Linked DNA regions of Coturnix japonica. The protein of the gene in region 1 interacts with the protein of each later gene in a pairwise test. Links are inferred from orthologs where the notes say so. Each region holds a gene or a part of one and is shown in the gene's direction. Other genes may lie near its edges.

Region 1 (3,812 bases):
CAGCAACGGGAGCAGACTGCAACTGTCAGCTCTAATGTGATTTCCCATAAACTCTGGATGCTAATATTGTATTTCCTGGAATTAAAAATTCGAGGCAATTTATTTCTTGGGCTTTGGTTCCCTTTTCAGATTTTACCTTTGCATCAGGATGGGGATTTTCTTGCTTTCATGTTGTTCAGTAGCTCAGATGTTACGGGGCTCTAATATTGTTTTATAGCACAACTTCGCAGTAATTACCCCTTATTCTTGAGGTGGGAGGAGAAAGTTGGCTCCAAAATGTGGCTCTCCTAAGAAACTTGGAGAGAAAATTCATCATTCAGCTCTTAACAGAATTGCTCAGAAGTGTATCCAGTTTGCTTTCCAAGCAGGGATAATTGAAGACACAACTAATTGTGCTTTGTTTTCTTTTCTTGCTTAGGTCATGATTTTCATTTTCTCGTGTCATTCTCTTGAAGAGAGGAAATGATTGTAGTGGAACTTCTTACAGATAAGCCACAGATACGGATTCGTCGTAGTTCAGAAACGTTCATAGAAGAGCAGATATAGCCCTTTTCTTTGTGTTCTAACGTCTGTCCTATTAAAAAGGGAAATAAAAATGACGACTTCGTCTATTAGGCGGCAGATGAAGAACATTGTGAACAATTACTCGGAGGCCGAAATCAAAGTCCGGGAAGCGACCTCCAATGACCCATGGGGTCCCTCAAGTTCACTGATGACTGAAATAGCAGATCTGACCTACAACGTTGTGGCCTTCTCTGAAATTATGAGCATGATCTGGAAGCGACTCAATGACCACGGCAAGAACTGGCGACACGTGTACAAGGCTCTTACTCTGTTAGATTACCTGATTAAAACTGGTTCTGAGAGAGTAGCTCAGCAGTGTAAAGAGAATATTTTTGCTATCCAAACGTTGAAAGATTTCCAGTATATTGATCGAGATGGTAAAGACCAGGGCATCAATGTAAGGGAGAAATCCAAGCAGCTCGTGTCTCTGCTGAAGGATGACGAGCGACTGAAGACAGAGAGGGCCCAGGCACTGAAGACCAAAGAACGCATGGCTCAGGTGGCCACCGGGGTGGGCAGCAACCAGATCACCTTTGGTCGGGGCTCCAGTCAACCCAACTTGTCCACCAGCTACTCGGAGCAGGAGTATGGCAAGTCTGGAGGCTCCCCAGCATCCTATCATGGCTGTAAGTACAAGCAAACGTGGAAAGCTTTTTTCTTTCTTTTTATTTATTATTTTTTTTTTTTGAGATATTTTCTATTCTGATTTGCCATCAGATGTGAGAGTATGTGGTTCTTTCTAGAAGGGTTAAGGTACTGTTTGCAAGAGCTGAATCTTAGAAGTCCTGTTCTGTGGCACTGGGGTCTCTTGGGCTGGGTTTTTGGTCTGGAGAGGATGTGTGTGTTGATATAACTCAATTTATAAAGCAGTTGTTTACTGCCAGTCCCCAAGCATAGCATTGTAGAGCTGAATTTGTGAATGCATTCCAGTGTTTGATGTGAGAGGTCCTCAATCTCAGGAGGGAGATAGTTAATTGATTTTTTTTTTTTTCTTTTTTCACTATTTTTAAAAGAATTACTTGACCTTTCTTGTGTGTTTTTCTTTCTCTTCCCTTTTAAATGTAATTGGAAGAAAGTTAGGAATAGCAGGTTTGTCTCACATTGTGCTAGGTAGTTCATGGCGCTGCTGTTCTATTTTAACAAGAGTATTGGGATTGAAGTTCCTTTCTTGCTTTTCTTGCTTGCTCAGCTGCTCGTAGAGTAGTAACACTTTGAATGTGTCAGTATTTTGATATTTATACAATCAACATTTGGCATCAATAGTAAATACTGTATTTCATTCTTAAAATAAATAAATAAGACCTCCAGAAAAGTACAGTGATGTGGGAAGAATGGATTCTTTATACCAGCCCTTGGGGGAACTCCCTGTCATGTTAGGAAGAGGCCTGAGTTGGCACTAAATCCTTCTTAATATAAGTAATGATCTGATGAAAGCTGCTCTGGCTGAAATGTCAGTGGTTGTGGTCTAATTCTGAAGGAAAATCTTTTCTTTAAATGAATGCTTATAGTGTGTGGGGGTCTGTAACAGAGCCAGTGTGGTGAATCGATAGTACCAGCTTTATGAATCTCCAGTTTCTCATGTCCTGCATCCCAAAGTGCTGCTCGAGTTGTAAGTGTGGGAATGGTGTCAGTACCTGTGTTGTGTATGGGCAGGTTTTGGGGTAGGCAGTAGGAAGCTGGCAGGACAAATCAAGCTGGGATGAAGAATATCTCAGTCTCATCAAGGCTGTAGAGGAAAAGCAGGAAAAGTAATGTTTTTCCAGAACGAAATGCATTTAGGACCCAGGGTTATAAGCAAAAAGCTTGTGAAGATACCGGGTATGGCAGCTTCTATTTTGTCTCTTATTGTAACAATGGAATGATAAATATTTTAGGTTTCCTTTAATCACCAGACTGGAGCATTGATTCAATGTGATTTTTTTAAAGGAGACATATTTCTGTCACTGCCGTAACACTTTTTTTCTTTCATGTAGACCTCAGACCTCATTTATCGACCTTAAAAACTTATCCCCACTTAAGGAGATAGCTTGGAATATTATTGTTTTTAACACCTGCTGAAGGACAGAACTAACAGCCACCAGGGTGCACTGAGCACACCTCTGGTTTGTCCCACACTATTTCTTCACCAGCTCGTACTTTAATTGGGGCACACAACCGGTGTTTGTCATACTGAGTGCTGCCAGAGGCTCCCAGCTATTTCTCACAGCAAGGGTTGAGCAATGCAGGGTGTGTTTCTGAGTTGTTATTCCTTGGACATTTGAGGAATTTTGATGGGGGACGAGATGTCAGGAAGCAAGTTTGCTCATTGTCTCAGTACTGAGCGTGAGGTTACTTGATGTTCTCATTTGCCTGTGTGTTGGTTTGCTGCTTATCTCTACCTGAAAAGCAATCTTAATAATGATTTCTTAGCCATTTTTCCCTCTTCCCTCCTAATGCTCGTACCTAAGAAGCTTTAGAAATCTCAGGCTTGTCTTTTTTTCCCCCTGTAGATTCCTCCTTTGTTACAGACTCTCCTGTATAGAGGCATCTAGATTTAATTTAGATCTTTCCCAGTAGCATGAGGATTGCTTCTTAGAAAAAGTACACTAATTCTTGCTAAAGGTTTAGCACGTTTGATTTGTATTTCAATGCAATTAAAGTTGGGGGAAGTCTGTAACAACTTTTCTATTGGCATGGTTAAGTGAAATATTTCATCTAAGTGTGGTGGTGGTAGCAGACCTTACTTTCATTCCTGGCTAGGCACAGTGGATGGGGATTGCAGATGAGTAGCTCAGCTGTACAGCACTGACTAAATATTGCAATGCTCAAACTGCTGCTCTTCTCCAGCTCCTCAAGCATGTGTGTAGGCTTGTGTCTACGGTGCATACATGGTTTGGATTTTGTATTCGATGTTGATCTAGAAGGTTTTGTTTGGATAGAATAGTTCTAAATTATCCTTCTTGGAAAAATAGAAACAGCACTGATGGCATGTGTAGGATGAGGGAATTAAGGATAAAGGTCTCTGGAGTGATTTACCATCGTCCCTTACTGCTGCAGGCTAGGCACAGTGGTGGGTAGGGACATTTTCCCCTTTTCCTTGTAGATCTATTCATCTGACTTCCAACAATCAGCTAGAAAAAGTGAGAAATGCACAGGAGAAGTGTGGTAGATTTCATTAAAATCTTTTCTCCCCACAGCTTTGCCTTAATGTCTTTGTTGGCCCCAAGTATTTCTGTGCTGTAAAGCTTGTCTAATTCTGGGAACACATT
Region 2 (4,368 bases), on another chromosome or scaffold:
AATATTGACAGCGCTGGGGAGGTTCCAAGCAATGAATTGTTTCAGTTCTTTCTGTCTCCCTTCGACTTCTGTCCTTGGCTTGGAAATAACAAAGTTGAAGAGATGAGATGTTTTTTTCCCTCGATGATTTAATCTGTATACATGAAGTTCTGGAGCTTCCCATGCACGCCAGCACTTCCTGACATGAAGGCTGAGTTTCTTAATACCAAACGTCAGCCAGAGCTATGAGAAGAGCATTACTGGGGGCACTGTTAGCTCAGGGAGCATTGGGGGAAGCTGTGTATGTGTGCTACTGACTTTAATAGGAGAGGAATTGGGGCTGTTGGTTATGAGCATTTCTTAAAAGGGAAACTTGCAGCTTATTGAAAAAGCGGATACAAAAGGCACAAAGCTGTGCTTTTCTTGCCAAGAACTGTACGCTTTATGTCTCTGAGTTGATTTCAGTCTGGTTTCCATTATGGAGCTTTCAGTTTCCTCGCTGCCCCTGGGGATTTGCAGGCACTGGAGGAGGGGCTGGGCTGCAAACCCTGCAGGGAAAGCTCAAATCCATACAAAAAAAAAGGTGTAATTTAGCCTCATATCACCTCTTAAAACATATTCACACATTATGCTGAGGGTTGATACGAGGAGTCCTTCAAAACATGTCATTCTGCAGCGGTTTTAATGCAGTTATGCAGGTGTTATGATTGTTTTAGGAGTCAGCTCCAGTTGGAGGCAGTGGGTTATACCCAAACTGTAGCTGTGCCAATAGTGCAGGTATTTTCCTGTCCCCGGATTTCCTCTCGCCCACAGAGCAGCTTTCTTTGTCTATGGGGTGACTTTTTGGCCCCTCCAGTTTAACCCTCAGTGGGTTAATTGTAGGAACCCAGGTGTCTGGGACACAAAATGGGCACTGAAACAGCCTGGAAAGTGGGGGGGAACCTTTGCTTTTAAAGGGGTTGAGCCTCATTTAGTGCACAGTATAACCAGATTAATGGCGTTTTCATTGTGAGCAATGAAAACGTGCAAAGTGCAGCCAAAGATAAAGTCCTGGAAGGGGAAAATAAAAGGGAATTGGAATGCAGTCAGGGCACTGGGCAAACCGTGCTTTGTTTGTGTGAGCTCTGTGGTACTATCTAAAATAGGAAGCTGGCAGAAGAGCTGCCAAGTCACGCAGGCTGCAAAGAACTGAGCTCATTTTATTATATATGGTCAGAGGGAGCAGAATGGGGTGATTGATGGGATGGGAAATGGGTTATCCCAAAAAGGAGCCCGGCTCTTTGGGTTGTGTATAGCAAAGTCAATATGATCTCAGCAGCTGGCTGGAGCTCGGGGAATTAATAGCAGCGTTAATTGGTGGCACTGCTCCTCGGGGACGGCAGACGAGGCTGAGTGAAGCGGTGAGATTTGGGGCAGAAAATAACCCTTAAGGAGCGACCTACACCACCCCAAAAAACCAACATGGCTGCCGAGCGAGAGGACTACAACTCCCAGCATGCCCGGGGAACACCACCCCCTCGAGACTACAAATCCCAGAGCGCACCGCGCGCCCAGCGGGCTCTTCTTCGCGCAGGCGCAGTGCGAGCTCGGCTCTGTGAGGCGGAGGCGGCGCTGAACATGGCGCTGAACAGGAACCACTCGGAGGGCGGCGGCGTCATCGTTAACAACAGCGAGAGGTGAGCGGTCAGGGGCCCAGCCCTCTTCTCTCTCCTTCTCCGAGCCCCTTTCCGTCCAAAATGGCCTTTTCCTGCGGGTCATATGGGGCTGAGGGGCTCTAACACCCGCCCCCCCCCCCCCCCCCCGCCATGTTGGGGTTAACCCTTGGTGTGCCCTATGTGGCTCATTAACCCTTGTTTAACCCTATGTGGCTCATTGCCGTCATATAGGCCCTGGTTCGTGGCCCAGGTGCCCTTCTGTACGACTGGGGATGGTAATAGGTCTAAATGTGCTGTGCACACCATTAGGGCCTGGTTTACCTGACGTGGATGTTGTCATATTAAGACAATACTACCTGCATCCATATGGATGTGTTTTATTGGTCTTAATCAGGCTGGTTTCTGATTGAGGCTTAAGGAGTCAGTGTGGGGTTATAGGAGTGAGAAGAGGAATGATCCCAATCACGTTATAGTGACTGAGATGGATTCTTGTGACCTCTGGTCGCCTCATTGCATAACCCAGGCTGAGGGGTTCCTGCTAAGCAGCCCTACCTGTGTTGTGTTGCTTGTGGTGAAGCAATTTAGGGAAATGATCGGGCAGAAATTCAACATAATGCAAGAAATACATTGAGAACTTGAGTTTAATTGACTGGATTCACCAGCCGGCTGTGCAAACAGCTGTATCAGCTCACTGAAGAAGGAACACGAGGCTGAGAGCAAGCAGAAGTGCAAGGCAGAGTGAGCATGTGTGCTGGGTGCTGGGCTGAGGTTAAGGCAGTTCTGGTAAGTCAGTGAACTCTACGTGCTGGAATCTGCCCCAAGCTCTAACACTGTGCCTCTTCTCATCTTGTTTGCAGCGTTCTGATGACCTATGATCATGTAGAAATGACCTTCAGTGATGCTGAACCGATGCCTGAGGCGTTCAAAGGGACCAAGAAAGGGAGTGTTTTCTTGACTCCCTACCGAGTAAGTAGTAAAAGGCATTAGAAAGAGATCAGAGTTCTTCATGGCTCTGCACTTCTACACGTGCATGAAGGTCTGGATAATGTACCCGTCCTCCCCTTGTGGGGAGCACTGTGGCTTCATTGCATGTCCTGCCTATTTGGCAAAAGATAATCAATCTGATTAGTTGTCAACCATGACATTAGTTCTTACCTGGGCAGCTGTTTTAGTCCACCAGGCATCTTCAAGATTGGAAATGAGCGATGGTTTGGAAATGCGGAATGGAGCAGTTCAGCTACTAAATCACAGCTGTGAGTTCTCTAGGAACTGGGAGGAGTGTTATCTGAGCAAGTGTGTAATCCTTCTGGAAGGCTTTATGGCCTTGAGGCATCATTTTACCCTTGTGACAGTTCTGAGAACCCTGGGGCTTGCAGAAATTACAAGGATCTTTGAGTGTGGGAGGCAGATTCAGTCCACCAGCAATGTCCACAGATAATAAACCGGGGCAGTGTTTCCTGTTCATTTTAAACACCCTTTGTAATGTTGTTTCTTTTTCAGGTTATCTTTATATCGAAGGGAAAGGATGCTCTGCAGTCTTTTGGGATGGCCTTTTATTTGTTGAAAGATTGTGAGATTAAGCAGCCTGTCTTTGGAGCAAACTATATCAAGGGTACAGTGAAAGCAGAGGCAGGAGGTACGTATAGCACTGATACAAAGCTGAGCTAAGATGCAGAACTTCTATAGTTCCTAGTAAAGTAATTATTCATTGTAATGTGAAGTGGATACTGGATGCATAGGTTCTTTCAGTATTGCTAAAATGTGTTTTTCTCTTTGAAACCAGCGGCTGAAAATATTCCCCCCTGTCAGCTCTGTGCAGTTACAGTGAACAGATTAGCTGTGTAACTGATCTCATTCCTGCCCTCTGTATGAAATTCAGAGTTCAGGCAGCCGAGTGATCTCACTGAGTAAACATCAGAGCAGGGATCAGGCTGTGACAGCAGCACTGAGGGCGTTGCTTGGCCTTGGTCAGTTCAGCCTCTCTCTTATTTATGCATCCAGATCCTTCTGTGCCAAACACTCGCGGTCTGTTCTGGATCTGTACGGATTTCGAGGTGTGAATCTCCAACATCCGTTTATTGTGCAGTTTAGGAAAAGCACTGCTGTATTGTTTGGAAGATGATGGATTACCTTGAGCTTAGGGAATGTTCAAGGGCAGCTTTATAATATGTTCAATGAGGAGTTGTGGTAGACTTCTTTTTTCCTAAGAGATACTTTTATCACTGTCCTATGCTTCTACTTCTTACCAAGGCACTTATTTCATCCAGAGCCTGATTTATTCCCTTAGCTGTGGCACTGCAACACAGTGCACTGCTCAGAGGGCTTCAGCCTATTACCCTGAAATCAGCCTTGTAGCTTTTCTATGGCAGCAAAACAAGACCATCCAGTGTGAGAGGAGAGCTGAGCACTAAGGACAAACACTAAACTGTGTGAAAGGCAAACTGCTTTAACAAAATCTCTGTGAGTCCCCCCCCAGAGGCTGGCTTAGTTAATGAGGATGTTGCTGCAACAGCCAGAGGAGTCTGGCTTAGCTCAAAAGGCTCTTTTATCTCTGTATCCCTGTTTCATTACTGACACAGCTACTGCTTTGATGCATTGTTGGCACTCTGGGCTGTGCGTGGTTTTCTTTTTTAGCCTGTAATAAGAGAAGTGGCTAATTCGTTTTTATTTTTTAATTATTATTATCCTGACTTGAAATATTTTCTATGAACTCTAATGGATTTATGCGATACTT

What was found.
Region 2: the proteins of EPN2 (region 1) and WBP2 interact in binary tests that used the Homo sapiens proteins (3 or more experiments, as listed by UniProt). The link is inferred for Coturnix japonica from reciprocal best matches to the Homo sapiens genes EPN2 and WBP2.

The regions. Positions count from the first base shown.
Region 1 is NC_029529.1:5,217,068-5,220,879, forward strand, and holds part of EPN2 (epsin-2), read left to right. Parts: intron 1-418; 5' UTR 419-595; coding exon 596-1,190; intron 1,191-3,812. UniProt on the Homo sapiens protein: Plays a role in the formation of clathrin-coated invaginations and endocytosis.
Region 2 is NC_029533.1:4,035,558-4,039,925, forward strand, and holds the start of WBP2 (WW domain-binding protein 2), read left to right. Parts: upstream 1-1,520; 5' UTR 1,521-1,596; coding exon 1,597-1,655; intron 1,656-2,491; coding exon 2,492-2,600; intron 2,601-3,134; coding exon 3,135-3,270; intron 3,271-4,368. UniProt on the Homo sapiens protein: Acts as a transcriptional coactivator of estrogen and progesterone receptors (ESR1 and PGR) upon hormone activation. In presence of estrogen, binds to ESR1-responsive promoters. Synergizes with YAP1 to enhance PGR activity.